5 linked regions of the Rattus norvegicus genome follow. The main gene of each other region encodes a partner of the protein of the gene in region 4 in a complex. Links are inferred from orthologs where the notes say so. Each region holds a gene or a part of one and is shown on either strand. Other genes may lie near its edges. The genes, in order: Timm22, Agk, Timm10b, Timm29 and Timm10.

The links.
Region 1: Timm29 (region 4) and Timm22 share a complex: the UniProt entries of both Homo sapiens proteins name them as parts of the TIM22 complex. The link is inferred for Rattus norvegicus from reciprocal best matches to the Homo sapiens genes TIMM29 and TIMM22.
Region 2: the proteins of Timm29 (region 4) and Agk are in contact, whole or in part, in a cryo-EM structure (PDB 7CGP), measured with the Homo sapiens proteins. The link is inferred for Rattus norvegicus from reciprocal best matches to the Homo sapiens genes TIMM29 and AGK. Residues at the interface, in NP_612367.1 of Homo sapiens: Tyr145, Gln146, Cys149, Arg150, Tyr151, Leu152, Gln153, Arg155; in NP_060708.1 of Homo sapiens: His33, Asn36, Arg39, Arg40, Cys43, Gln44, Gln47, Asn51, Lys82, Pro86, His89, Leu90.
Region 3: Timm29 (region 4) and Timm10b share a complex: the UniProt entries of both Homo sapiens proteins name them as parts of the TIM22 complex. The link is inferred for Rattus norvegicus from reciprocal best matches to the Homo sapiens genes TIMM29 and TIMM10B.
Region 5: the proteins of Timm29 (region 4) and Timm10 are in contact, whole or in part, in a cryo-EM structure (PDB 7CGP), measured with the Homo sapiens proteins. The link is inferred for Rattus norvegicus from reciprocal best matches to the Homo sapiens genes TIMM29 and TIMM10. Residues at the interface, in NP_612367.1 of Homo sapiens: Asp181, Asp183, Ile184, Asp186, Phe189, Leu192, Leu196, Arg197, Val199, Gln203, Leu204, Ser206, Asn209, Glu210, Leu212, Phe213, Asp214; in NP_036588.1 of Homo sapiens: His30, Arg31, Lys32, Cys33, Pro35, Pro36, Leu43, Ser44, Lys45, Gly46, Glu47, Ser48, Val49, Arg53.

The regions. Positions count from the first base shown.
Region 1 is NC_086028.1:61,749,056-61,755,099, reverse strand, and holds the start of Timm22 (mitochondrial import inner membrane translocase subunit Tim22), read right to left. Parts: upstream 3,415-6,044; 5' UTR 3,403-3,414; coding exon 3,171-3,402; intron 866-3,170; coding exon 669-865; intron 1-668. UniProt on the Homo sapiens protein: Essential core component of the TIM22 complex, a complex that mediates the import and insertion of multi-pass transmembrane proteins into the mitochondrial inner membrane. In the TIM22 complex, it constitutes the voltage-activated and signal-gated channel.
Region 2 is NC_086022.1:70,147,065-70,152,363, forward strand, and holds part of Agk (acylglycerol kinase, mitochondrial), read left to right. Parts: intron 1-2,481; coding exon 2,482-2,629; intron 2,630-3,165; coding exon 3,166-3,263; intron 3,264-5,299. UniProt on the Homo sapiens protein: Lipid kinase that can phosphorylate both monoacylglycerol and diacylglycerol to form lysophosphatidic acid (LPA) and phosphatidic acid (PA), respectively. Does not phosphorylate sphingosine. Phosphorylates ceramide.
Region 3 is NC_086019.1:169,389,810-169,394,674, reverse strand, and holds Timm10b (mitochondrial import inner membrane translocase subunit Tim10 B), read right to left. Parts: upstream 2,321-4,865; 5' UTR 2,300-2,320; coding exon 2,270-2,299; intron 2,128-2,269; coding exon 2,032-2,127; intron 1,863-2,031; coding exon 1,686-1,862; 3' UTR 1,019-1,685; downstream 1-1,018. Other genes in the region: Arfip2 (arfaptin-2), read left to right, coding at 3,410-3,508, 3,723-3,819, 4,496-4,614, 4,786-4,865. UniProt on the Homo sapiens protein: Component of the TIM22 complex, a complex that mediates the import and insertion of multi-pass transmembrane proteins into the mitochondrial inner membrane.
Region 4 is NC_086026.1:28,418,914-28,424,912, reverse strand, and holds Timm29 (mitochondrial import inner membrane translocase subunit Tim29), read right to left. Parts: upstream 3,544-5,999; 5' UTR 3,309-3,543; coding exon 3,194-3,308; intron 3,115-3,193; coding exon 2,426-3,114; 3' UTR 574-2,425; downstream 1-573. Other genes in the region: protein YIPF2, read left to right, coding at 3,710-3,740, 4,032-4,186, 4,270-4,350, 4,783-4,870, 5,856-5,972. UniProt on the Homo sapiens protein: Component of the TIM22 complex, a complex that mediates the import and insertion of multi-pass transmembrane proteins into the mitochondrial inner membrane.
Region 5 is NC_086021.1:90,313,093-90,319,125, reverse strand, and holds Timm10 (mitochondrial import inner membrane translocase subunit Tim10), read right to left. Parts: upstream 3,988-6,033; 5' UTR 3,423-3,987; coding exon 3,352-3,422; intron 936-3,351; coding exon 734-935; 3' UTR 513-733; downstream 1-512.

The sequences.
Region 1 (6,044 bases), on a different chromosome or scaffold from region 4:
GAACAATCTAGATTAAAATTGACATTTTTAAATGTTTGTGTTGAGGCAAGGTCTTTCCAGCCCAGCCTGGTCCAGATCTCATGATCCTCCGCTTCAGTTCCTGAGTGCTAAAGCTGCAAATATGGACCACATTTCTGATAGCATTCTGAAGGAACACCTCGAACACCGCTCTTTTTAAAAGCTGTGCAATGGGCTGGGTGTGCTGGCACGTGCCTTTAATCCCATCCCTGCACTCAGGAGATAGACAGGAGGATCTAGTGAGTTCCAGCCATTCAGGGTTACACTGTAAGACCCTGTTTCAAAAAAGGAGGGTGTGTGGCTGGAGAGATGGCTTGGTAGTTAAGAGCACTGGCTTTTCTCCCAGAAAGACCCTGGTTCAATTCTCTAGACTTACATGGCAGCTAGCAACTGTCTGTAACTCCAGTCCTAAGAGACCAGATACGCTCCTCTGGCATCCTCAGGCCCCAGGTACACGCATGATGCACATACATAGCAGGTAAAACATTCACATTCACATTCACATTCACACACACACACACACACACACACACACACACACACACACACACACACCCAAGCGTTTTTAAATGATTTAAAAAAAAAAAAGATAATTAAAAAGTGTACAAGGGCAACAGGAAGAGCTTTCTTAAGAAGCAAGAGGCACTTACAGACTCTACCAGACACTCAGTACAGGAAAACATGGCACCCACAATGGCAAAATTTTTGGCATAGGACATTCCTCTCTGTCCCATGTCCTTCAGGACTTCTCTTGCAGTTGGTGTCCGGTAAGGGTCCTTGGGGTCAAAGCCCACGTTGGTATCAATGCCAGCAGTAAAGACACCAAATGCGCCTCCCAAGACAAATCCTAGAGGTAAGCAGAGATAAGAGTTCTTTTGCACATTCTCTAGTTTACCATTTGGGGATGGTAACTGAAGATGGCCTTTCTGGTCTCTTGGCACTCGGTCCTGATCCGGCTTTCCTCACAGTACAGTCGGAGTCTACCCCCACAACTCCTCTAGGATTTATGCCTTTCAGCTTTAACCCTGTTCTTCAGCTACCAACGTTGTATATGACCTGTAACAACACTCATACAGTCACTCAGTAAGGAAGCATCATGTCCCCGCTACTCTGGAATATTCCTTATTTTTCATAGTAACTTGTGAGGTAGATGTTACTATCTCCCCTTCCTGGCTTTTCTGTTTGAGGGCCTCACTACATAATCCCGCTGGCCTCGAACCTGACACTGTAGAACAGGCAAGCTCCAACTCCAGAGGTTCATTTGCCTTTGCTTCCCAAGAGCTTGGATTAAAGGTTCTGAAACCACCATCCACCCTGCCTCTCTAAACCAAACCCTGGAGAGGTTAAGTAACTGTCTTCAGAGTCACATGAATATTAAACATGGAATCCTATGTTTCTGTCAACAAATGCCTTGTCTGAGCCTTCTTTTGTCTGTGAGTGTAGGCCAGAGTGGGTGCCATTCCTCAGGAATTACCCACCAATTTCTTTTTGTTGTTGTTGTTTGTTTGTTTGTTTTCTAAGACAGGGTCTCTCTGTGTAACAGCCCTGGCTATCCTGCCTCTTCCTCTCCAGTGCTGGGCTTAAAGGCCCCATAGCCTCACCCAGCCATACCTGGCTTTTTTACATAGATGCTGGGTTCTGAACTCAGACCTTCATGTTTGCATGATAAGCACTTTACCAACTGGGCTTTCTCCCCAGCCATTTCTGTATGATGTCTTTTCAAGATGATCACCTCAAGATCAATGTAAGCTCAATGAAGCTAGACCCCTCCTCTCCTGGTCTTGCTTTCTAATCACTTCAGCTCCAAAACTCTATCTCTTCTTTCTACTTATTTGTTTGTTTTGATTTTTTAAATATTTATTTATTTATTTATTTTATGTATATGAGTACACTGTAGCAGACACACCAGAAGAGGGCATCAGATCCCATTACAGATGGTTGTGAGACACCCTGTGGTTGCTGGGAGTTGAACTCAGACCTTTGGAAGAGCAGTCCATACTCTTAACCACTGAGTCATCTCTCCAGCCTGGTTGTTTTGGTTTTTGAATTAGTTTCTCAGGGCTGGAGAGATGGCTCAGTGGTTAAGAGCACTGACTGTTCTTCCAGAGGTCCTGAGTTCAATTCCCAGCAACCACATGGTGGCTCACTACCATCTATAATGAGATCTGATGCCCTCTTCTGGTGTGTCTGAAGACAACTACAGTGTATCCATATACATCAAATAAATAAGTCTTAAAAAAAAAAAAAAGAATCAGTTTCTCTATTATGTAGCCCTGACTTTCCTGGAATTCACTCTATAGACTAGGCTGACCTGGAACTCTTGAGATCTGACTGCCTCTTCCTCCCCACTATTTAAGATTTGAACTCCTGTATTTTTAAAATGTTCTTCATTCTTAACGAAATTTAAACTCATCTACAAATAAACAACCTTTTTACCTGTACACTATAAGTATGCTGTACATTCTCAAACCCTGGAAGATTAATATGTGTATGTGTGTGTGTGTGTGTGTGTGTGTGTGTGTGTGTGTGTGTGTTGTTAACATCCATCCCAGCCTCACCCCGACTAATCACACTGGCCTTCGCTGTTTTTTGTTTTTGTTTTTGTTTTTGTTTTTTTTTAATTCTGAGACAGGGTGTCTCTATGTAGTCCTCCCTGTCTGTCTGTCTCTGCCCACCACCACCACTCCCAGTGCTGGGGTTAAAGGCTTGGGCCACCATCACCCAGTAATAATTTCCAAACTCCAAACTCCTGCCTTGAGGACCTTTGCATTTGCAACTCTACAGCATTCTTCTCTTTGCGTCCTAATATTCTCCTTCAGGGCTCCTGTCGCTTTCATCCATATTCCTTCTGCCGGGCACCTGACCGTTACATAGTAACAACTTAATGAATGAACGAACGAACGAACGAACGAACGAACGAACGAATAAAACGAAGAAAAGAAAGCAACAATTTAGGAACCTGCAGACCCTGACTGTGAATGTTAATCTCAGGGTCAAGAGCGGCATCTCCGGGTTCAAGGAGTCAGCCAGCCCGGGAGCGATCAAGGTCGAGATGCACAGGTTCCTCGCCTCCCAGGCGCGTGGTCTTAGCAAGGAACCTTAAAGTTCTCCAAGCCCTCAGCCTCCCAAGGGTCCCACAAGCCTCGCCTCACCTCCCACACAGGCCAGCACAGCCTTGAAGGCGCAACTTTCCATCGCCCTCTCGATCATCTTCTGCTCCTCGCTCTTGGCAGGACTCGGGATCCCGCCCAGACTGCCAGGCTCCAGAAGCCGTGGCTGACGCTTGTCGCCCACCAGGTGCTGAAGAAGAAGGCTGTACTGCAACGGAGCTTCGGCGGAACCCGCCGCCTCAGGAGCTGAAGCCCCAGCCTTGGCGGCCGCCATGACTGTACGGGCTCTAGTACCTTTCACGTCGTATTTCCCACAGCCGATTCCACATGCTAACCGAGGAGTCCGGCCAGCCTAACGACAACGGCAGATTCGCCACACTGAGGAAGCTGTAGAAGCAAGAGTCAGCCTTTGCATCAGCGTCGAGGAAGCTATCACGTTTCCTCAACGCCTCTTTAAACAGTGAACCAAGTTTGTAAGGCATTGCTAAAAACTCTGACAAGGTTTAGTAGCTCAAGAACACCCCTCAACTAGGGGCTCCATTGCGGTGCGTGCCGGGATTTGTAGTTCTAATTCGAATGTCCAACTGTATTTCCCAGAAAGCCGTGCGCACTCGCTGGCTTTGCTACTTCCTTTGAAAGCTCGTCTGAGAAGCGGCCGAAGAGAAGTCGGATCCTGTTAGGCTGCAGTTCGTCGAACTTGCAGCAGGGGACGCACGTGTCCGCTTTGTTGCCAGGCCATAAAGCAGAGCTCCAGCTACTACAGTCACTAGAACCACAGACTGGTTTACATTCTGAGATCGAATGTACGCCCTTTGTATGAAAGTGTTGAAACATGACATAAATGTGTTCAAAAAGCATTTTATTACATATTTATTAAGCCTTTAAGGAAGAATAAAGAAGGCCAACAAATGTGAGTGGTGGTCTAGCACGCCTTAAAGCCCAGACAGGCAGATCTCTTGAGTTTGAAGCCAGCCTACTAGTCTACAGAGTGAGTTCCAGGGCAGCTGGGGCTCCACAGAGAAACCATTAAGGAGAGAGAGAGAGAGAGAGAGAGAGAGAGAGAGAGAGAGAGAGAGAGAGAGAGAGAGAGAGAGAGAGAGAGAGAGAGAAGAGAAGAGAAGAGAAGAGGAGAGGAGAGGAGAGGAGAGAGAGAGAGAGAGAGAGAGAGACCAAGTACAGAGTATTGCATAGGGTACTAATGGCATACGACTATGGTAACAATGGAAGATGTCAAACCCCATGGCTGGTAGTTGCCGGGTGTGGTGGTGCACTTGGAGAGATCTGCCTGCCTCCAGAGTGTTGGGATCGAAGGCGTGTGCCACTACACCAGGCAACTTGGAATCGTTAATGCTTTGTGGTTTTTAGTGTTAGAGAGCTAAGTTTGAACTTTTTGAAACTCATTTCTTTCTAGATGCCATCCTTGTTTGTTTGTTTGTTTGTTTGTTTGTTTGAAGCAGGGGTTCCCTGTGTAGCCCTGGCTTCTTGGGGAACTCACTCTGTAGACCGGGCTGGCCTCAAACTCAGAGGTCTGCCTTGCTTTGCCTCTGAGTGCTGGGATCAAAGGCGTTGATCACCAACCATCCTATTTCTAGATGCCATTCTTGTACCTCAGTCAATGGCCAAGTGTTAGAAAATGTTGCTCCTATTACATCTTCTTTTTGATCCTGGCCTTAGTAGTGGATCTGTGATTTCCTCATTGAGAAGAAAAGATTTTCTGGGCTGCTCAGTGACAGATCCTCAGATTCTAGCCTGTTTCTGGTGAGTGGTCCAATATTCCTGGATCACATTTCCTATATGCCAACATTGCCGGAGAGTTGTTTTTTGTTTTGTTTTGTTTTTTTTTTTTTTTTTTTTCCGGGGCTGGGGACCGAACCCAGGACCTTGCGCTTCCTAGTCAAGCGCTCTACCACTGAGCCAAATCCCCAACCCCTGTTTTTTTTATGTATGTGTGTGCACACACATGGGTGTGCAAGCGTGGGTGTCTGTGAAGGCCAGAAAAGAGCGCTGGATGTGGTACACACCCCTTAATCCAAGCACTTGGGAGGCAGAAGCTGGCTAATCGATCTCTCTTAGTTAGAGGTTAGCCTGGTCTACTTATCAAGTTACAGACTAACTAGGATGACATAGCAAACCTTATCTCAAAACAAACAAATACATGAAGTGTTTTTTTTTCTTGTTTAGATTCTCTTCCGTTCCATAACAGAATGCTGATGGTCCAAATTAAAATATTTTAAGACTTTTTAAAAAACAAGCCAGCGTGATTCCAATTTTTAAAAAAGATTTATTTATTTATTATACATAAGTACACTGTAGCTGTTCAGACACACCAGAAGAGGGTATCAGATCCCATTACAGATGGTCGTGAGCCACCATGTGGTTGCTGGGAATTGAACTCAGGATCTCTGGAAGAGCAGTCAGTGCTCTTAACCGCTGAGCCATCTCTCCAGCCCTATTTATTTTATTTTATATGTGTTTTGCCCACATGTATGTCTGTGGGCCATGTGTGTGCCTGGTGCCTGAGGAGGTCAGAAGAGGGCGTTGTTCACATCGAGTAGACTCAAGAGTTTGTTACCCTCTTTATTCAAAGATTTAGTCTGATGTAAGGAAGACATGCAGGTGCCACAGTGACAAAGGACAGACTCGCAACGGTTAATTTTATGAATCATTTGAGTAGTTCATGGAGATCTCAGCTCATTGGTTCAGCTTGATTCTGGGTATTGCTGTGAAGGGTCTCTTGGGTCAGATTAACATTTGAGTTAGATTGGTGGACAGATTAAAGCTAGTAGCCTCCCCCTGTGAGTGGATCTCATTCATTCCTTCGGAAGCCTGAATGCGACAAAGAGGCAGAGAAAGGGAAGTTCCTCTTTGATATTTAGACTTGAAGTCTGAGGAATTTACACCATTGGCTAGATTGGT
Region 2 (5,299 bases), on a different chromosome or scaffold from region 4:
AAGCCACTGTGATAAACCATGGTCATAAATTCAGGCTGGTGCAGTAGAATGTGTGCAAATGGATCCAGAAGGGAAGTATGGATGTACTCAGATCTGCATTGTGGGAAAATTGGCCTCAATGTGCACAAGGAGGTGGGCATGCCTAGTTGTAGGCAAAGCCCGCAGATATCAGATTGACAGAGTCATCCAGTGATCAGGAAAGAGCAAGTGCTGTGGTCTAGAGTAGGGTTGTTAATGGCGGAGTGCTACTGGAGTAAAATTCTCAGAAGCTTGAAGAATATTAGATTGGCAGATTTCTAGTCTGAGGGACTAGAGTTGGGTAACTTCGTTTTGTATTAATGTTGATGATGGTAAGACCAAGTTTGTGGAGGAAGATGAAGTTTTGGTTTGTGTGTGGTGAGTGTAGCATATCTTTGGTTCAAATATGTGTAGTTACAGTTGTGATTCTGTCTGGAACTCAGAAAGAGGCCCTGGGATGAAGAAATGTGTGTCCATGTTTTGAGGATATTGAAAGTGCGGGTTTGTAAATAAGAATTGATGGGGGGCTGGGGATTTAGCTCAGTGGTAGAGTGCTTACCTAGGAAGCGCAAGGCCCTGGGTTCGGTCCCCAGCTCCGAAAAAAAAGAACCCCAAAAAAAAAAAAAAAAAGAATTGATGGCCAGGAAAAGCACAAAGGACCGTAAACATTTAGAAAACTAGAAGAAAAAAAAAAAAACAAAACTGTGATGGTACTAAGAGAAAAGTCAAAAGAGAGCCCCAACATATCAGCCAATCAAAGAGGAATTTCAGGAGAAAGAAAGTACAAGTTTTAGGAAGTAATGGGAAGAGTCTAAATGAAAACTGGAGGTCGTCTTCTGAACGGGGAGCTGCCGAAGGTTTCCAGTACGAAAAGGGAACTGTCTTTGAAATTGGGAGTTGCCAGAAGTTTGTCAGGTTCCAAAGTAAGAGGGTTAGATTATAGCAAAGAAAACTAAGAAATACATGGTAGGTGAAGAAACGGAGACAGTTAAAGGACGTGATGGGGCACACCTTTAATCCCAGCATTCAAGAGGCAGGAGCAGGGGAATTTCTGAGTTTGAGGACAACCTGGTGTACAGTGTGAGTTCCGGGACTCCAGGGTTGTACAGAGAAACCCTGTCCCGAAAAACAAAACAACGAAACAAAAAGAAAAACAAGAAAAAGGAAAAAAAAAGAAAGAAAAACACAGACACTCAGGATAGACTGTCTTCTCTTCAGGAATCTTGACTTGAAAGAGGAGAAGACAGAAAAGGTAACCTGAGAGAAACAGAAGGCAATAGAGCAGTGGTTTTTTTTTTTTTTTTTTTTTTTTTTTTTTTGGTTCTTTTTTTTCGGAGCTGGGGACCGAACCCAGGGCCTTGCGCTTCCTAGGTAAGCGCTCTACCACTGAGCTAAATCCCCAGCCCCGAGCAGTGGTTTTTAAGAGAGCAAATGGCTGTGTTTTTACATGCACCAAAGCAGGAGTAGGAAGTGAAGAGAAGGGAGACAGACAAGATGACTGAGGTGTTAAACCCACACAGGTACAGAAGGCTGGAATCCAGGGCGCTTGCACAGAGGAAGGGCTTCCTTTGTCGCTGAGACAGGAGAGAAGTAGCGGTTCGGTCCAGACCAAGGTTGACAATGGAGAGATTTAGGACTTTCTCCCTGGTGGACCTGACATTCTTTGAAGACAGTTTGAAGCTGTGCTTCTGAAAATGAAGCAGGAGGACAGGTGGTAAAGGTGGCACAGAGTATTTAACTGTAAGAGTCAAGAGAATCTGTGCCAGAACCTGAGAGTCTGTGGTATTACTGATAGGCTCCCCAACTCAGCAGTGTGACTCCCCCACCCAATAAGTGTCAGGCTCTGATTCAGGGATCCCTCCCTCCTTCTCTTTCTCTCTCTTTCACAGACACACACACACACACACACACACACACACACACACACACACACACACACAGACGTAATAATAGTAATAATAGTAGTAGTAATAATAATAATAGTAATAATAGATAAAAATGTATCGTACAGATATCTAGTGTGAGAATGCTAGGCTTTGAAGCAGTGAAGAGGCCTTAGGCTGCATTTGCATTCTGTCCTCTAAATGGAGTCTGATGGCAGCAGTGAAGTAGGTGTTTGATGCAACTGGTTTCATTACATGTTTGTGTGCCGTCTGTAAATTGATGTTTATCATGGGGCCACTCTGCTCACTCGTGTTCATTCCTATTGTGGATAAGTAAGCGTGAAGAGGAGTTGTCAATTCAATTTGTTTTTCTCTGTGTCGTATGTTAGGGGACATAACAGAGACCATAGTCACTATGTTCATGGTTTTTAAGGCAAAATTGAAGCCTTCATTTTTCCACATGGGGAGAACTCTGTTTATTGAAGAGACAAATTATTAGAATTCTGACCTTTGCAGAGCAAAGCCCCCGTGTTAGGAGTTATGTGTGCGTGATGAAAGCTATTTTCTTCTTCATTAACAGGAGTGGCCTCAGACCCATCAGGCCTCCATCTCTTACACGGGCCCTACAGAGAGACCTCCCATTGGGCCTGAAGATGCTGCTCCCCGGCCTTCTCTGTACAGGAGAATATTACGTAGGCTTGCCTCATTCTGGGCACAGCCACAGGATGGTGAGCAACATGGTGACTAGATTACAAGCCCTGTTCAGCTTAGAAGTGGCCTGGAGTGGACACCCAGAATCAGTACTAGATAATCATTTGGTGCTGGAGGAGCCAGTCCAACCTTGTTGAAGTCAGACTCCTGGGTGCTGTCAGGGCAGGCTTCAATGTCTTATCACTAGGTGCTGCAGTTCCTGTACTCTTTGTCACTGACATCTGTGCTATTGTGCTGCTGTCGGTGAGGATGCTTTAGGCAGAGAACCTGGTGTTTATCCCTGTGTATCAGAAAGATGAAGTAAAGTTTAGAGTTGGACAAAGGGCTGAGGAAGCTGACTACCAGCAGCTCAATACTTTCTCTCTCTCTCTCTCTCTCTCTCTCTCTCTCTCTTGCTCGCTCGCTCGCTCGCTTGCTGTGTGTGTGTGAGCGCGTGCACGAGTGCGTGCGTGTATGTGTCTGTGTGTTGGGGTTGGTGGTGTTGTAGTTGGGAGTGAGACACAGAGAGAAATGTTAGTAGAAACACTGGCCTATGTCTGATGGATTTCCACAGCCTTCTCCCCAGAGGTGAGCCCTGAGGTCTGGAAAGATGTACAACTGTCCACCATTGAACTGTCCATCACAACCCGAAACACCCAACTTGACCTGACGGTAAGTGGACTCATTTTTATGAATTTGGTGTCTGGAGAAACAGTGGCAGGTGCTTTTCTTGCACTAATTAGTTATTTTTCTACTTTACCCTGTGGGCATAGAGATGAAAGGATCAAGGAAAGGGAGGGGTAGTGTGCCTTTGAGTAACAAAGCACTGAGAAGTGGGAGCTGAGTGCATCGGGACACAGGAGCTCAAGGCTCTCGGAACACACATTTTCTTCATGATTGGGTGGCCCGGAGGATGCAGACGGAAGCTTTAGAAGTGAAATGTTAGAGAGAAGCTGAACATTCACTTGAGTAAATATGCATTATGTTTTGACTATATTAAATACATAGACTCAGACTCCCCAGGACACACAGATCTATAGCTATACATGTGGGGATCCTGTTGAGATAGGATCTTGCTACATGCTACAGGATAGCCTCAAACTGTGGTCTTCCTGCTTCAGCCTCCCACATAGTCGACTTACAGGCTTGTGTGCCACTTGTGGCCAATGTGATTTAATTTGGATATGATCTGTAGACATGGACTGTCCAAAGCTATTTGTCATATGTGGCTATTCATATTACGTGGGTTGAAAGAGAAGTTTCTCTGTCATGTCAGGGCTCTACAGCTATATGTCTTGCTGTCATATTAAACATGCAGATGAGAGTTTCCAGCAGTTTAGACAATTCCACTGGCCAGTGCTGCTGTAGATAGTTCACTAAAATTACCAGAAAACACAAGAAGGCAAATAAAACAAACCCTACTATATGCTGCCTTTATATTGCCTATAAGCAAAGAATTGATTTTCTAATTTTAAATGATGGAAAGTTAAAAGAATGATAGCTTATGGAACATGAAACATGTGGAAGTCACATTCCAGAATTTGTATATAAAGCAATATTGTAAGAGGAATGCAGTCCTTTATCTGCATTTCTCCTGTGGCCCTTGCACTGTGGTAGAGGGGACAGAGTAAAAGAGACCATGTGGCCCCAGCCCTAGATGTTTGCTATTTGGCCATTTTTAGAAAAAGCATACTGAGCCTGGAAAGGAGAAAACTTTAATTACTTCCGTTAACAGAGTTCCAGTGTAGGTCTTTCTCACTGTGGCTAATTACTATAACATATTCTGCTTTTATGAAAACCTGAGTAGTCTGTTCACTGTTACGCTGGCCAGTCCGAGAACTGGGAGGTGGAGCTGCAGGGTAGTGGGAAGGCTAATGTCTGGAGTAGTATTGACTTGTTTTCTGTTTATGCAAGTAATTTGCATCTCCTGTAAAATATTTGCAGATATTTTACCTTCTGAAATAATTCCAGTTGAATTAATGAACTAAACTCAAAATAATGAAAATACTTAAGTATTAAGTAAAATTTAAATGATTTTAAAATTTACTTAAGTAAAATTTAAATGATTATCAGTATAAAGTAGGAAAGTACAAAGGAGCTTTTCTAAGCATGACACCTAAGGCAAATTTTATATTGATGCATTAAAAAGATAAACTTCAGAATGACAATTGGGGAGAATATTAGGATGTGGCAGACAAGCCATTATTAGCTTTCCTTATCACAGACTCCTCAACTAAATCAATAAAGAGCGAACAGAGACAATATTAAACAATGGGCCAAAGGCTAAAAATAGAAAACCACAAAGGTGTGGGTTGGGGGTTTAGCTCAGTGGTAGGGCGCTTGCCTAGCAAGCGCAAGGCCCTGGGTTCAGTCCCCAGCTCCGAAAAAAAAAAAAAAAGAAAAAAAGAAAAGAAAGGAAGAAAACCACAAAGGAAAACATTTAGGAAAAATAGTTCATATTTATTACATGTTTATTAATTTGTCTAAGAATCTGATGGGAATTAGGTATTTTATTCCCAGATTCACACCATGTGCCTGTACAAGACCGTTTAACTGCATTTTATACTAAGGGTAAAGAAAAAGTGTTAAAGACACCAGGTGAGACAGTAACTACTGGATCCCGTGGGTTACACAGCACTCAGTGGTGATGTGCATGGGGAACTGGACCATCTCTTATCCTTCATGACATTGTAAACTACAACACTCAC
Region 3 (4,865 bases), on a different chromosome or scaffold from region 4:
CAGACATCATTTAGAGTAGTCTGCTGTAGTGCAAAGACTATCAGGCTTGATGTCCCAGCTCACTTTATTGATAAGAGTCTTGATATAACAGCGCAGAACGCTTTCAAACTCACAATGCTTGGCCTGTTAGTGCTATGACTGCAGGCACATATAACAAGCCTTGGAACATGATTAGCCTTTCAATATGGAGTCAGCTGGGATTTTCAATTTTTTGGCTGGCCAACAATTGGGAGGTAGAGACAGGAGGATCAGGAGTTCAAGGTCATTTTTAGTTACCATTTCCAGGTCAGTCTTGGGTACATGAGACCATAACTCAAAGTAAATAAATAAAATAAATAAATAAATAAACGCAAATTTCTGACCTGTAGGTGGGGGGAGGGCAGAGAATCTGCTCTGTGAATGGTTGGTTTTCACTGTGAATTTGATTCCTTTGTAAAAAAAAAAAAAAAAATGAAAGCTGGCCACCTGTTGCAATGGTGGAGGGGATGGGATGGGATTTCAGGAAGCAGTGAAGGGGAAGTGGGTAGCTTAGTTGTTTAGAGTTCACACCAGGCAAGCACAAGTGCCTGAGTCTAATCTTCTGGGAAACAGTAATAGGTGCAGACCCCATGCTGTTGCCCTGCAGGCTGTATTATCCTCGAAGCCCCAGAAGCCCCATGTGGTGGTGCATGCCATATCCTCCTTCCTTTCCCCATCTCCACATTAGGAGTGAAGTCATGGAAATGGCAGCTGCCAGGAAAGGACTCCTCCGGAGTATAGACGTGAATCCCACAAAAGGGGGTGGGGGAATAATGAAACAAGAATAGAGAAGCTGGCAACAGGGTAGTTAGAGTACTGGAAGGTAGAGAACTGAAACTAGGGGACTAGACAGGCAGTGAAACACTGAGGAAGCACCGGGTGGAGGGTCACAGATGGTATTTAACCATCTCTCCCTAATACCATCTCCCTTTCCCTCAGGTTTCTCTTGAGGTTTGACTAATGTTGTCTTCCTGACTGACTGAAGACAAGAAAGTCCTTCTTTGTTTAAAGTCTTTATTTCTAATTTCACAAAAGCAGGAAATACTAAGAGAGTAAATTGGGGAAATGGTCAACATTCCTAAATTCTTAGAGGCTTGTCTTTGTTCTGTTGTCACTGATCTCCTAGGAAGCAGTGACTAAAACCTAAGGGGGCACTGTTTTCTTCCTGCTTTTGTTGTTTGATATTACCTTCTTCCCCTAGATCTACAGCAATTCTTTTGTCTGACAGCTGAGAATAAAAACTAGTTAAGAGCCAATGTATATTCAGGTACTTGAGTTAGACCCTAGGACAGGCACAGAGAACTCTCCTTTTGGAACCAATTTCCCATTGTTATTACCAACCTTCAAACTGTAGCCATAATCCTTGCTTTTGCTGGGGTGCTGGGAATGCTAAATTTGTCCTTCTACATACAAGAAGGTAATACATCAACTGCCAAGGCTAAAGGCACTAGACAGGCAGTAGATGACAGAATAAAGGATGGTACCAATAAAGAAAAGTTCTTGCCAAGTAAATTAACCAGAATACAAAAACGGGTTTATTGGCTCCAAGAAAAGGAGCAAGAGCACCCAGCTTTCAAGCTCAGTCTCTCTGTACATATTTAGACAAGCCCAAGGTCCATAGAGGAGCCTATCCAAGCACCTTCTCTCCTGCGGTCAGGGACAGCTAGCTAGCTGCCTGATGGCGAGTCTCTGGGCTGTTCTGCAGGAACACCTGGCACGGCAGAGGCAGCCTCGTAGTCCGCCATGCGGCGCTGGACCAGGGCGGGCATGAGGTGCACGTAAGCGGCCATGAGGCGGTGGTTAGAATGGATGAGCTTCCCAGCACAGCTGTGCAGGCAGGCCTCCTGGAAGGAAGACAGATGGAAGTAGAAACTAAAAGGGGTCCTGTCAAGCCCTCCTCCATCCTTCCCGGTCCCCAGCCTAGGAATGAGGTCATGAAAGAGAGGGGAAGTGGGGGGAGGGGGTAAGTCACATCACGTTATTGTCAACTCTGGGACCCCCCACAGTCTCCACCTCCTCAGCGTCCAGAGCTCGGTGGTGCAGGCTGGGCACACAGCGCTGGAAGCACAGTTCTGTCATCCGATTGTAGACCAACAGAAAGTCTCGCAACTGAGAGAAAAAGGAACCAAGACTTCACCACCGCCGAGGCTTCCTGGGGCGCGCAGCCCGCCTCCCCCTCTGGGGGTTCTTGCGTGTACCCCTGGAAACAAACTGCGCGTCTAACCCAGAGAGCAACTTAGCTCTCACTCACGTTTCTCAGTTGCTGCTGCTGGTGCTCCATCACGCCCAGGGCGCATGGCGTACGCCACTTCCGTCCGGAGGGGGTGGCTCTCGGAGTCGCCCCGGAAGTAAACTCTCGGTACTCCCCCAAGAGCTTGAAGGCGTAGCTCCAGGCTCGCCCTGCCCACAACTGTAAACGTCACCTCCGCCCTTTTTCTCTGCGACGTGGCCGGCTTCTTCTGCCCAGAGAGCATGTCACTTCCGCCAAATCTCTGACCTGCTGCTAGGATCGCGACGGGAACTGGAACCCGAGGTCCCCGCGCGGTCCGGGCCTCGCGCCCTGAGGGGAAGAGCGGCCCGGCCCAGGTGAGAAGGACGTACTTGGACGAAGGGAAGTTGAACGCACGAACCTGTACTGAGGGCAACATGCCCTGAGCCCTTGGCAAGGATGAGGACACACCTGATGCCCAGGTGTATGGGGGTGGGGGGTGCCTCTCACATCTGGAAGGCTTCAACTGACTTTGGAAGGGATTGCCTGTGTCCTGGTGTCCTGACACCAGGAACATTCACTAACTGCTTCAACTAAGGCCTGGTGGGGAGGGCCTGAGGGAGTCAGGTGCATGAGATGGAGAAAGGAAGAGACCAGACCATCTGAAGGAAGAGGGGAAGGAACACCAAAGGATGTGAAAGATCAGGATCGCAGAGCATGCCTGAGTGGCAAGTGAACGTCTGAGCCTAGGAAAGAGTTTTGGTAAACATGCTTATGCAGGGTTAAGTTCCCAGAGAGCATAGACCTTCCCTCTGGTCCTCACTGCTGCAATTCCATTGCCTCGGTATCTCACACATAGTAGAAACTCACCAAATGTTTGTTGAATGACTGAATGCATGAATGGTTACTAAAGGCGAGGTTGGGGGTTACGAGAAGACACCAGAGGCTTTGGTATGCATGCATTTGTAGAAATAATGTACTCAGAAGAGAATGGATACACATACTCAAGGAAAGACGTGGTGGCTGATCCCAGGACACCCAAGCCCTAAGACAATCCCTGAAACCTCTGAGAACACAGGGGAGGCCTCCTTATTCTGGAGTGCTGGCTAGTTTCCAGAATTGTCTTGTTGGGCTTTACAGCGTGCTGGGGTGGAGACCTTGACTCCTGTCCCTTCCCTAGCCATGACGGACGGGATTCTAGGGAAGGCAGCCACAATGGAGATTCCCATCCACGGAAATGGCGAGGCTGGGCAGCTTCCTGAAGACGATGGGCTGGAGCAGGTGCTTCTGTTTGATTCTTCTAATTGTCTCATTATGCAGTCCTGACTTATAAACCTTTTACTTTCCCCCATCCCAATAGCCTTCAGTTAACTAAACTCCTTCCTAGTTTTCAAATCTTTATGGTTCTGTATAAACTTTATGTGCACTGCCTCCATCCCCAAATGTTTCATCTATCCCTGTGTTCCTGAGGTGCCCCCTCTTCTCTGACCTATAGGACCTCCAGCAGGTGATGGTGTCAGGACCCAACCTCAATGAAACTAGCATTGTGTCTGGTGGCTATGGGGGCTCTGGTGACGGACTCATCCCCACAGGTATGAGTGATAGAGACAGGCTTGAGGGGTGGGGATGGGGGCTGTTAAGGCAGCTTGCCGGCACATAGGACACATACAGTAAAGCTTGACTCGTGACTGAAGAGCTTCAGAACTGCTAGTGTGAAGTTCATAGCCTGTTCAGTCCCAGACCAGCTCCAGAGTTGCCCATCTGCTTCCCCCCTGCCACTTAGTCTCTAAGATAATCTCATTTGTCTTTTCCTCCCTGCCGCCACCACCTGAGCCAAGTTAAGACCTTGAGGTTATGAGCACTCAGGAGCTTAAGGCCAAGTTGGAGCTTTGTGAGGCTTCTCAGACTTTCATTTTAGACTGTTACACTGACTAGAATTCTACCTAGAAATATCAGCCAACTTCCTTGTTTTCTGTGCCCACCATCTTTGATCCTGCCAATCACACATATCACGATAGCTTCTATTCTTTCTTCTTGAGTACACTAACAACACTCTTACCCTATCCCAAGAATGCCAGATACATGCATTGAGTTGGTTTGGTGGTCAGGACACAAGTCCTTGTTCCCCCTAGTAAGCAGAAGAATGCAGTTGTCTGTCTAGATTTTCCTTCTTCAGCAAGGTCATTTCATGTGCTGGAAGGGAAGTGGGCCACAGAAGTGTCTGGTTATATCTAAGAGAAACTAGTGTCAGAGAACTTGGTCCTTTAGGGTCTGGCCGCCATCCGTCTCACAGCACCTCACCTTCTGGCCCTGGTGATGAGGTGGCCCGAGGCATCGCTGGAGAAAAGTTTGACATTGTCAAGAAATGGGGCATCAACACATATAAGGTAAGATTCAAGCACCTCTTCTCAGAAACTCTCCATGGGGCCCTTTTCCCTTTCCCTGGGTCTTAATCTACAGTCTTTGCTATGACTAAGAGAATGGGGGTGCTGGAGTAGTTCCTTGTGGGGTGGAGTTTAGATTTCTGACCTCCATCCCCCCACCCCCATTCCAATCAGTGCACAAAGCAGCTGTTATCAGAGAGATTTGGCCGAGGCTCCCGGACTGTGGATCTGGAGCTAGAGCTGCAGATTGAGTT
Region 4 (5,999 bases):
GGAAGGGAGGAAGGGAGGAAGGGAGGGAGGAAGGAAGGGAGGAAGGGAGGAAGGAGAGAAATTTCCTCACTGGTATGGTTAGTGACTGGAAACAGTTCCATGAGGTTGTAATCATGTTTAAATCCACACACATAACATTCAAATGTAAGTGCTGGCTCTAGGGAGGTAAAGGCGAGGTCTAGGTTAGTTCAGGGCCAGCCTGATCTATATTGTTCTAGGCCAGCCAGGATTACACATTGAGTCAGTCTCAACCAACCCCCCCCACACTCACACACACACACACACACACACACACACACACACACACACACACACACACATACTCTGGTGCTAATTGGGAAGGGAGGAAGCATATAAGTGGGAGTGGATTTCAAGAAACAGCAATGGGGTGAATAAAAACACTTTGCACACACATAAGAAATGCTTTAGTAGGGGTTGGGGATTTAGCTCAGTGGTAGAGCTCTTGCCTAACAAGTTCAAGGCCCTGGGTTTGGTCCGGAAAAAAAAGAAAAAAAAAAAAAAAAAAAAAGAAATGCTTTAGTAAATGCTTTAGTGAATCTTATGAACCGCCACTAATATACACTAATTAACACATTGTAATTCACACGTGGATTTTTTTTTTTTTTTGGAACCCATATTGCATTCTAATTTGTTTTGTGTGTGTGGAGGTCACAGGACAACTTGGAGGTGTTAGTTCTTTCTTTCTATTGTGTGAGTTCCAGAACATGGACTCAGGTGGTTGGGGCTGTCTTCCCTGGCTGAGCCACCTCACCAGTCAGGAAGACTTGAATTAACATCATCCTCTGGCCAGGAGACTTGGACTCAGGCACTATTGTATGCAGGAGGTGGAGGCACACACCTTTAATCCTCCCACTCAGGAAGCTAAGACTGTGGGGGAATCTCTTGAGTTCTAGGGCAGCCAAGTCTCCAAAGAGAAACTCTGTCTTGAAAAACCAACCAACCAAAAAGAACTACCATATATTCAATACACCTGATAATGAATGAAAGAGGCAAAACACACTACCAGGGCTGGGGGAAACTCAGTGTAGAGTACATACTTAGTCTGTGTGAAGCCCTCCCACCATAAACAAATCCAAGACTCCAAGACAAAGATGACTGCTTCATCTCCCGCTTTTATTGACTAGTCACAGTCCACCTGATATGGGCAGTTTTGCTTCCCTAATAGTTTAGCTTGAAAGGTAATTACCAGAACTTTGCTAGGTCCAACATATATGCCCCACCCTGTTCCTCTCCAACCGTTTCCAGGGTCCCTGCAGTATGGCATGTGACTACATGTATGTTCTGGGATTGGAACATATTCCAGCTTTCCACAATGCTTGCAATCACTGCCACACACACATACAGTAGAATTTGTTTGCCTCTGTGTCTATCTCCTGCATTGACAGTAATATACAACGTTACTAATTAAGACAAGCTAGGTCAAAGGTCCTCAAGGACTACATAAGGAGATTATCAAACAAAACAAAAACTCCAAGAGGACTGGGGGTACAGTGCTTGCCTACTATGTACAAGCCCCTGGATTTACTGCCTAGCACAAGTACCCAACAATAACAAACCACGTCACAGAGACATTTACTTCATGTGGAAAGTGCAGGCAATAGGACCCATCGTTCAGTCATCCTGTGCTACACAGTGAGTTTGAGGCTGGTCTGGGCTGTGAGACCACTTCTCAGAAACAAAGCAAACCAAACCCAAAAAATCCAATTTAAGAAGCAGACAAATCTCTGGGAGTTTAAGGGAAGATTGTTCTTCATAGCCAGTTCTGGGGAAGCCAGTGCAACAAACCAACCAAAAAGCACAACAAAAAACCCAACACACACATTTTAGCTACAACTGAAAAGGAAACCCCGAGGCCGGCATGCTGGCACATGGTGAAAAGGGAACCCCGAGGCCGGCATGCTGGCACATGGCTTTAGTCCCAATCTTGGACTACACTGTTGTGTACACTGTTGTGCACTAGAGCTGATACAGGAGTAGTCAGGGCCAGACTGGGCATATGGGAGCCTCAAAAAGCAACCAAATAAACAAAATCCCAAAAACCAAAAGCCCATTTTTGTTCTGTTTTTGCAGTGCTGGAAATGCAAGCCAGGAACCCAGGCATGCTAGGCAAATGCTCTACCCTTGAAGTCCATCCCCAGCAACAACAGGCTACACAGCAAAGGTTCCTTATTAGTAGATCTTGCAGCGGTAAGCACAAGGTCAAATGCTTCATGTTCGAAAGCAGTCTTTCAGCTCTTCTGTATCTCTAAGACCAGTAAGGCTCCCAATTAGCTTCGGCAAACAGGACAGACAGAGCTAGAACGTCCCACAAAATCACAACGAGGGTCATTTATCTCTACCCATCTCACCAACTGCACCATCTGTGGCCAACAGTTTGCCTGCGCCTGGGGGCACCCTTCGTTTTTCACCTGGAAACATCGGACTGAACTAGTGAATTAGCCTCGCTCAAAGCTAGCCGATCCTTTTTCTCCTTCTGTAACACCTGCTCCTCCCACAGCGCCTGGTCCACCTGATCGACGGTGAGTATGATCGGCTTGTATTTCTCTTCGAACAGCCTCTCATTGGCCTCTGAGTGCAGCTGGTGAGGCCCGACGACGCGCAGGTGCGCAGGCAGGTGGAGAAACTCGTCGTCGTTGATGTCGCAATCATGCATGCGGTTCTTCAGGACCCACCAGCGGCCTACGAACCCCACGTCGAGGACCCGACCGGGGAAGTCGACCCAGCGTGGCTGCAGGTAGCGGCAGCGGGCCTGGTAGAGGCTGGCCTGGGCGTCGAAGGGCGCTTCGTAAACCAACGAGCAGAACCCCAGGTTCACGTGACGCAGCCGCCCGCGGCCCCTCAGCCACAGCAGGCGCTGCAAGAACTCTTCCGAGTGGCGGTTGCGCGTGGCCGGCGCCAACAGCAAGAGAGAACTTGATGCGTCAAGCAAGGCCTCCTCGAATGCCGCCTCACTGGGCGCCAGCGCACAGCACGCAGCAGCGCCGCCAAGCAGCCCCACGTACAGGGCCGCGCGGCCGGGTCGAGCTCGCGCAGCAGCCGCCGCGTCTCCGCACGCCTCGGCGTAATCCCGAAGCAGCGCGCGGGACCAGGTGCCTGAGGGGAAAGAAGCGCTGCAGTGACAATGATTCAGCCACTTGGGCCACCCACCCTGCAGCCTTCTGCCACTACTCACCCAGTCGCGTCCACAACCCTGGCTTAACCGCCACTGTCGTGGTACCACTTGCCTCTCCTCCCGCTTCACTGCGTCCACGGGACCAGAATCTCTTCAGAGCTGCTGTCATCATCATTTTCCGGCGGTTCCTCAGTCGAGGGGAAACACATAGTGCCGGAATGAAAAGGGCTGGAGAGTAGATCCTGCGCAAGCGCAAGATACAGGAAGTAGTTTCCCACTGGAAGACAATAGGAAACGGACTAGTGCCGGATGTTGCCGTTGCGTCGAGAAGGGTGGGCTCTGACGGGTAGGCGAGCGGCGCGCACGCGCACGGAGCAAGAGCCACGCCAGCTTAGGTAGCTTCAGGTGAGGAAGGTGGGGTGCTTCTGCAGGGCCCTAGCTTGGAGCTGAAGCTTCATTACTCCGTGTGTTAGGCTCCATGCAGGAGTCCAGACGGAAGCATTAGTCTTGGGGAGGGCTGTGGGACTGATGCGGTTCTGTCCACAGAGTGTGATGCAGTGACGCCTCCAAAGAACCATGGCAGCAGCCGACGATCTGGCCTTCCACGGTGAGTGGAGCCCGGAAGTGGTCAGAGCTCCTAGCCCTGTCCTAGGCTAGAACCCTAAGCAGTTGGGTCCCAGACCTCAGGTTCATCCTGCACTCAATTCCCGCTCCTTCCATGAACTCAAAAGGCAAATCACCGCCTCCAACTCTGCACAGGACCTAAATTGAACACCATCTTAGTAGACGAGCAGATCTACAGTCCATCAAAACCGAACCCAGCCCTTAGGGGAGGGTGGTGAGGCAGTCACAGCCCTTTCAGACTCCAAACACCTGTGCCCATATTCCCTCTCCGTAGAGTTCGAGGAAGCTGCAAATCTTCTGGCAGAAACCCCAGATGCAGCAACCACGAGCCAAAGTGATAAGCTGACCTCACAAGAGCATGTGGCTGTGGTTGTGGGTTCAGGCATTGGCTATGGAGCCGAAGGAGAGGAAGAGGATGACAAAACATCAGTGAGTCTCCTAGGCCCCGATATACTCTGCCTCTGTCCTTACTCTGACTAAGCAGGCAGGTTCTGAAAGCCTTTGTCTTATAGCTTCTACAGGATGAAAAGCCACAGCCAAGATTCTGGACGTTTGACTACTATCAGAGCTTTTTTGATGTAGACACCTCCCAGGTGAGGCCTTGGACATTGGTGGTGACGACTTGGAGTTTCTTGGGGTTCAGCCACTATTCTTGGGGACTGAATTTGGATGGGATGGGTATAGTGGGACTGGAAAGCAAAAACTAGGTTACAAAGTAGATGTGGATGGTATGTGTCTTAAAGGCAGTATGTTTCCCAGTCAGACCAACCTCTAATAATAAACCAGGTCCTCTGAGAGGGTACATCCTGGAAATTAGGAGGGAGACCATCTAGAACAGGGAGACTGTCCTTACTTTGTCTGGGAGGAGAGGCTGCAGGAAGCTGAGAGCAAGGTGGCAGGCCTGAAATCCACCTTCACAGTGGGTGACGTGTTCCAGCTTGTTCAGGTAGGATGTGCTGGCAAGACAGTGGATGCCTCTCAGAATGCAGGGGTTCTCATTTTGGACCCTTGGTTTTGTTCTCTAGGTCTTGGACAGGATCAAAGGTTCCCTGCTGCCCCATCCTGGCCACAACTTTGTGCGTCACCATCTTAGAAATCGTCCTGACTTATATGGTAAGTGGGTCTATGTTTGAATCAATGGAGTATTATTCAACATGGGACTGTGCCTGGTCCTGAACAGGGCAGTCATGCACAAAGAGCAGACTTGTGTTTAGTTGAGGGAGACACCAAGAAGGGAAGCAGAAGGTGGTAGGTCTGGCTAACTCAGAGGGTGAGTGGCATTGCTGTCTGGTATAGGGAAGTCAGCAAGGTCCCTGAGTAGGGTCGGCAAATGAGTTATGCTGGCATTGGTGGTGAGAGGCTTAGAAGAGGACCCAGAAAGCTTCTAGGTCCCATGGTGGAAACAAGTGAGTTGCGCATAGTGGCATAGGTCATTGCAGTGGAAGAAGCTGGGAAGTCATGAGTAGGGGATGAGTACATGAGTCCCATATAGTGGTGGGAAGGGATCTTACTGAAGGATTTCAGGATCTCCTCTGGCATTGGAAAGCCAACAAGAGCAGGCAGGGCACAGACATTACATTGGAGGCTGTGAGGAAGAGTGGTTGTTGGTCCTAGAGTATGCCCACAACCTAGAGGACTGAGAAAGGCTGGAGTAGCTTTCTACCCAGTTAACCAACACAGTTGCCATGGGTGGACAGGAAAAGCTGGACAGGTACGAGGAGCAGATCAAGTGTCTAGAGGCCCAGGTCATATGTATGAATTTTCAAAAAATAAGCATGTAAACCCAGGGCCCTGGGGCAGTTTGGGAGTGACACATAAAGATGGAATGCATGAAGCCTCTGGACAAGATCCTGCCCACAGTGGAGAACCACCAAGCCTCTTCTACCTATCTACAGACAGTTTTGTCAGAGAAAAGAGCTAAGTGCTTGAGGCATTTTAGAAGGTATTTCCAGAAAGAGAGGATCAGCCCAGCTGCAGCACTTGTGAGCAGTGACTTAGAGAGTCAAATGGAGTCTGGGGTCTTAGCAGAACACTTATGTAGGACATAGACACCTTTCCCAGGAAGAATGTGCCTGGGACTCCATTTCCCCCTTTGCAGGCCCCTTCTGGATTTGTGCCACCCTGGCCTTCGTCCTGGCGGTTACTGGCAATCTCACTTTGGTGCTTGCACAGAGACGGGACCCCTCCATTCACTATAGCCCCCAGTTCCACAAGGGTAAGCAGAGCGGGTGGGCTCAGCTCT
Region 5 (6,033 bases), on a different chromosome or scaffold from region 4:
GACAGTAATATAGCTATCTAGGTAACATCTAGAGCAGAATGGCTACTTGCTAGCAAAACCCTATCCACTGTCACGTCCTCTAAATAGCTTTTCTTTGATATGTGTAGAAATGGCCTGTTTGCCTCCACTTACTATCAAGCTTTAAAGGACACTTAATACCTCCTATACCCAAGTCACTCTAGTACATCACAGAGATGTAGCACAGTCAGGGCCACACAGTAAGCATCAGACTCTTAAGCCCAAACCCTGTGGTCCCACTAGTCTATAGTCTTAAAGCACTGTAGTAAGGTACGCACGTGTAATCCCAGCGTTTGAGAGGCAGAAGCAGATGGATCTCTGTGAATGGATCTCTGTGAGTCTGAGGGTAGTCTGGTCTACAGAGTGACATCCTGTTTTTAAAAACAAAACACAACAAAACAAAGCAACCCAACCCCACTAAAGTAAAGACCCACTGCATTAAATCCCTCTACTGTTGGATGCTCTGACTCTTTACTCTCAAACAAAGACACTGCTTTGCACAAATTTGTTTTAATATGATATATACATATACACACATTCACAGTCACAAACCAGCATGACAAGTCCCCTTCCTTAGCCAGGAGAGCTCTACCACACGCAGGGGTCCTGGAGATGCTCAAGGGCCTAAGTATGACAGTTTTCACATGTGACATCCATTAGGGACACTTTAATCAGAGGTGGCAAGGTGCACCACGGGTGTACATGGCCCGGGGCCTCATGCAGGCCCAGAGCTCTGCTGTACCCGCTTCATCAGCTCTTCATCCTGCATAGACAACTCTGTCAACTTTTTTCCCATCCTCTCATGGATGTCCAAGTACTTGGATACGCATCGGTCCAGACACACAGACTCGCCTTTGGACAGCTCTGCCTCCTTGTAGTGGGGAGGCACGCACTTCCGGTGGCAGGCACTGGTCATTCTGGGTTAGAGAAGAACAAGGTTGTATCAGTAACTTCCTACAGCATCCCGGGAACCTTCAACAATTCCAACCCTGCTGGACTGATTCTTGTCTGGTTCCTCCCTCAAGAAAACAGTAGAGGGCTGGAGAGACGGCTCAGCGGTTAGAGCACTGACTGCTCTTCCAGAGGTCCTGAGTTCAAATCCCAGCAACCACATGGTGGCTCACAGCCATCTGTAATGAGAGCTGATGCCTTCTTCTCCTGTGTCTCGTGTGTCTGAAGAAAGCTACAGTGTATATATTAAATAAATAAACCTAAAAAAAGAAAAGAAACTTTTCTTCAACCAGTTTGGAAGGTTCTTCCAATAAGAATCTTCTCTGAGTCATGTACAAGACTAGTTAAAGCAGAAGCACTTGCTGAATACTGGCTGTGTGCCAGCCATCATGCTAAGGGCTAATACAGACTCTGTTAGGCAACCCTCACAGTAGCCCAGTGGGGTAGGCACAATCATTATCCCCACTTTACAGATGAGGAAATTAAGACACAGCTCAGTAATTTGCTAAATATCACACAAAGCTAGGTAGTCTGACTGCACAGTCTGCATTTTAAAAACCATTCTAATTTATAGTCTCAAAAACAAACCAATCAATGAAAAGAGCTGCTGACAAAAACCAGCAGATACCTGCTGTTTCCTGTATGATATGCTAGATGATAAAGTATAATACTGTAATGTCTGTATGGCATAGCACCTCTTATGCCAGTTTTACTGATGAGATAAGCAATTATGAGACATTCAGCAGTGACTGGCATACCAGGATGCTTCCAAATTGGCCTAACAGCTACAAGCAGTAGTTGTGAAGTCAGCCTCAAGTTCTGGCCTGACATTGTTGCTGACCAGCTACAAAACCTGAGATTAGTAAACCCCTTAATACCTCAATTCCCCTATGTTAAAATGGTACTAATAAAATTAACCCACTGCTCTTCTTTCCTTCCTTCCTTCCTTCCTTCCTTCCTTCCTTCCTTCCTCTCTTTCTCTCTTTCTCTCTCTCTCTCTCTCTTTCTTTCTTTCTCTCTTTCTTTCTTTCTTTCTTTCTTTCATTCATTCATTCATTCAACTATTTGGCTTTGGCCTCCATCTCTGAGTATAGGCACCCACCATGCCGAGATCAAACCAAGGGCTTCCTACATTCTAGACAAACATCCTATGTTCCACCCCATTCTCCCTTTGAATTATTTTTAAGTATTTACAAAAATGACAATGGGGGTCTGGAAAGTAGTTAAGAGAACTTACTGTTTTGCAGAGGACCTGGGTTTGGTTCCCAGCACCCACATGGCAGCTCACAACTATCTTTGACTCCAGTTCCAGGAGATATGATGCCCTCTACTGGCCTCTGAGGGCATGTGATGCACATGTATATACACATGCAAGCAAAACATACATACATATAAAACAAATAAATTAAAAAAATTTAAAGTGGGGGTTGGGGATTTAGCTCAGTGGTAGAGCGCTTGCCTAGGAAGCACAAGGCCTTGGGTTCGGTCCCCAGCTCCGAAAAAAAGAACCAAAAAAAAAAAAAATTTTAAAGTGACAATGTATATAAAATGCTTTGCAAGTGCCTAACACAGAGATAAAGTTTAATAAGGATCAAGTGCACACACTTTTAATCCCAGCACCCAAGAGACAGAGACAGATCTCTGGGAGTGAGACCAACCTGCTCTATACAGATCAAGCCAACAACCAGGGCAACACGGAGACGCCCTATCTTGAAAAACAAGAACAAAAACGCTCACCCCACCTCTCCCCCAAAAAGGAAGAAAAAAATTAATAAGTACTAGCTACTAAATACTATTAACTACTAAATGACTGTTCAGATGGCTCAGGAGGCAAAGGCCCTTGCTGCCAAACCAGAAGATCTGAGTTCAATCCAAGATGGAATCCTAGTAAGTTGTCCTTTGACCTCCACATGTGAGCTGCTATAGCATGCATGTTGGCATTCATAAATAAACACAAAATACAGAAGCAAAGGTAATAAAATGGGCTATTAGAAAATAAAAGAGGGGTTGGAGATTTAGCTCAGTGGTAGAGCGCTTGCCTAGCAAGCACAAGGCCCTGGGTTCGGTCCCCAGCTCCAAAAAAAAGAAAAGAAAAGAAAAGAAAGAAAAGGCAGTGCTTACTTGTACTTGATACTCAGCAGAGCCTGAGCAGGAGACTTTCCTTCACACCCCTTTTACTCCCTCTAAATAGCCAACCAAGTCCTTCCAGTGACCTGTCTTTACTTCAGCCAAGCCCGCAGTAATGGTGGGACGGGATTAGGAGGTTGGGACTTGGCTCTACTACCTTAGGGAAAGCATTCCTTACAAGTCCTTCACTCTATCGCGGTAGGGGTGACGAGGGCTAGTTTTCTGGACAAGGTGAATCGGAGTGGTTCTCTTTACCTGTTGTACATGTCGGCCATCATCTCCACCTCCAGCTCCGCTGCCAGTTGCTGGGCTCTGAGCGGATCCATGTCAACTTAGCACCGTGGAGAAAATAGCCTCCTGGTCTTTAGTCCTGGGAGCGTACATGATAAGTCAGCACCGACCCCTCCACATTCACTCTAATACCCACCCAGGGGCTGGAGGGCGCGAGGGGTTACAGCGTTTCAGACCAGCAGGGACCAGTACCCTAAGAAAACGTAGTCAGCCCTCTTACCAGAAGTGGAAATGAGGCCCTTAAAGGGGACAGTGTCCAGTTCAAGGTCACTCAAGATGTCATGGGGCTCGGAGCTGGAAACCGAGAGCTCTCAGTATCTCGAAATCACTCCTAGCCAGAGGACCGACATTAGGGGCAGAGCACACAAAACCCTGGGCCTGAACCCACGCAGCCCCGAGAATGTGACCCTAACCACAACATAGGTTCCCAGGGCCGGTCTAAAGGCTGCGCCTCTGTCATGGCAATGGCATAATCAGGGTCAGCCTGGGGATCAGATACCATGGCTCACTCACCACGGCCTGGGGTAGGTCACAGCTCCCGCAACGCCCCCAACTTCGGGTCAATAGTAAAAAGTTAACCGGGTACCAAGATAGGCGAAATAAGAAGCACGTGGGTCACTTCCGGAAGGAAGTCTAACCTCTTCTTTGATCCGGAAGAAAACGCAAACCAGGCGGCTCTGGGAAACCGGCTACCATAGAGAGGAGCCACTGGCTGAAGAGAAACCTACTTCAATTTGCTAGAGTGGACTCCAAAGTATCATAGAGTGCGGAGTCAATGGCAGAGCGCCGACAGCCTTGTTAGCGTTCCATCCCTCTGGTTGTCCGGGAGACTTCTGAGTGTTTGGAGTGTGGAAAAGGCTTGGCTCCCTGAGCCTACCATGGAGAGCCCACGCCTGAGCGCAGACGGATCTTTTGTGAAGAAGGGAGAACGTTTCCCAAAGGAGCCTGTCAGTTTTGCATGTTAAAACCACCTGGAGCACTTTTTTAAAAACCTCAACGCCCAGACGTTACCTCATACTCGTGAAATCAGAGTCCCAGGGAGTAGGACCCAGACTTTAGTAAATGAACAAACTGCGTTAACTGGTGGGGTTGCAGAAAGAAGGATACAAAATCGCTGCTCGCAGAAAAAGGAAACATGTATAGAGGTCTTCTGTGCTTGCTTTTGAGATAGGGTCTCATGGAACCCAGGCTCTCTAATTTGCGGTGTAGCCGAAGATGACCTAGAACTTATTTCCTGCCTCAACCTCACTAGGGCTGCGGTTACAGATGAGCGCCGTTATGCCTGAACTTTGCAGTGCTGGGATGGAAGTAGGACCACATGCTACAGGCAAGCGCTCTACCAACTGCCCCAGCGCTGCAGCATGTTTTACTGCACTTCTTTATCATAGCCATACACATGCACAATAAATAAAAAAATAAATGTAACAATAAGAATTATTGGCTTTATCCTTCTCTTTTTCTTTCTTTCTTTCTTTCTTTTTTTTTTTTTTTTCTAGGCAAGCACTCTACCTAACTGAGCTAAATCCCCAACCCCTTGGCTTTATCTCCTTTTTTGGTTCTTTTTTTCGGCGCTGGGGACCGAACCCAGGGCCTTGCGGCTTTATCCTTTAAAACTATTTTTATTAGGGCAAATCTGCAACACACAGAGAACACAGTCTAATGAACTTCATTGGTGATTTGGTACAGTGTGAGATGATCTGGGCCAGAGAGTCATCAGTGAAAGCAAGGAGAAATGATGAGGAACACCAAGATTTAATATTTTTTTAAAGATTTATTTATTTATTATAAGTACACTGTTGCTGTCTTCAGATACATCAGAAGAGGGCATCAGATCCCATTACAGATGGTTGTGAGCCACCATGTGGTTGCTGGGATTTGAACTCAGGACCTCTGGAAGAGCAGTCAATACTCTCAACCACTGAGCCATCTCTCCAGCCCCAATTTAATAATTCTTGATATTTAGTCGCATTTTCTTGATCTATTCTTGTCTTTAGCAGATGAAGTCTTTTTTCCAAAGTGCTATTTTCACATTCTCAGCTAATAGTGATTTTTTTCATCTCTCTTCCACGGTGCTGAAGGAATTGTAAGCAAACACTCAATAACTGAACTATACAGTTCATTTGACATACTATTTTTAAATTTAAATTTATTTATAAGAACATGCACCCATGGTGGAATCGAAGGGCTTGTGGAGGTCAAAGGACAACTGGTAGAAGCTGATTCTCTCCTTCCATCATGGGAGTTCAGAGTAATCAAACCCAAGCTGTCAGGCTTGGGGGTAATCACCTATATCAGCAAGCCATCTCACCAGCCCACTTATTTCCTAATGTAATCTATTGACAACTTAAAATTTATTTATCTTTTTATGTTTGTGTGTGAGAGAATGAATTGTGTGCTTGGAGGTCAGAGGACAACCTCAGGTTTCCATCCTTAACTTTAACCATGTTTAAACAAGATCTAGTGTTTGCTGCTGCCTATACCAGCCTAGCTGGCCTGAAAGCTTTCAGAGATGCTCCTGTCTCTGCCTCCCATCTCACCATAGGGTCTTGGAATTGTGGACCCATCCCACCATGTCTGACGTTAGATTTGTTCTAGGGATCTCAAATCAGGACCTTACTACCACAAAGAAAGCTCTTTCGCCACCTG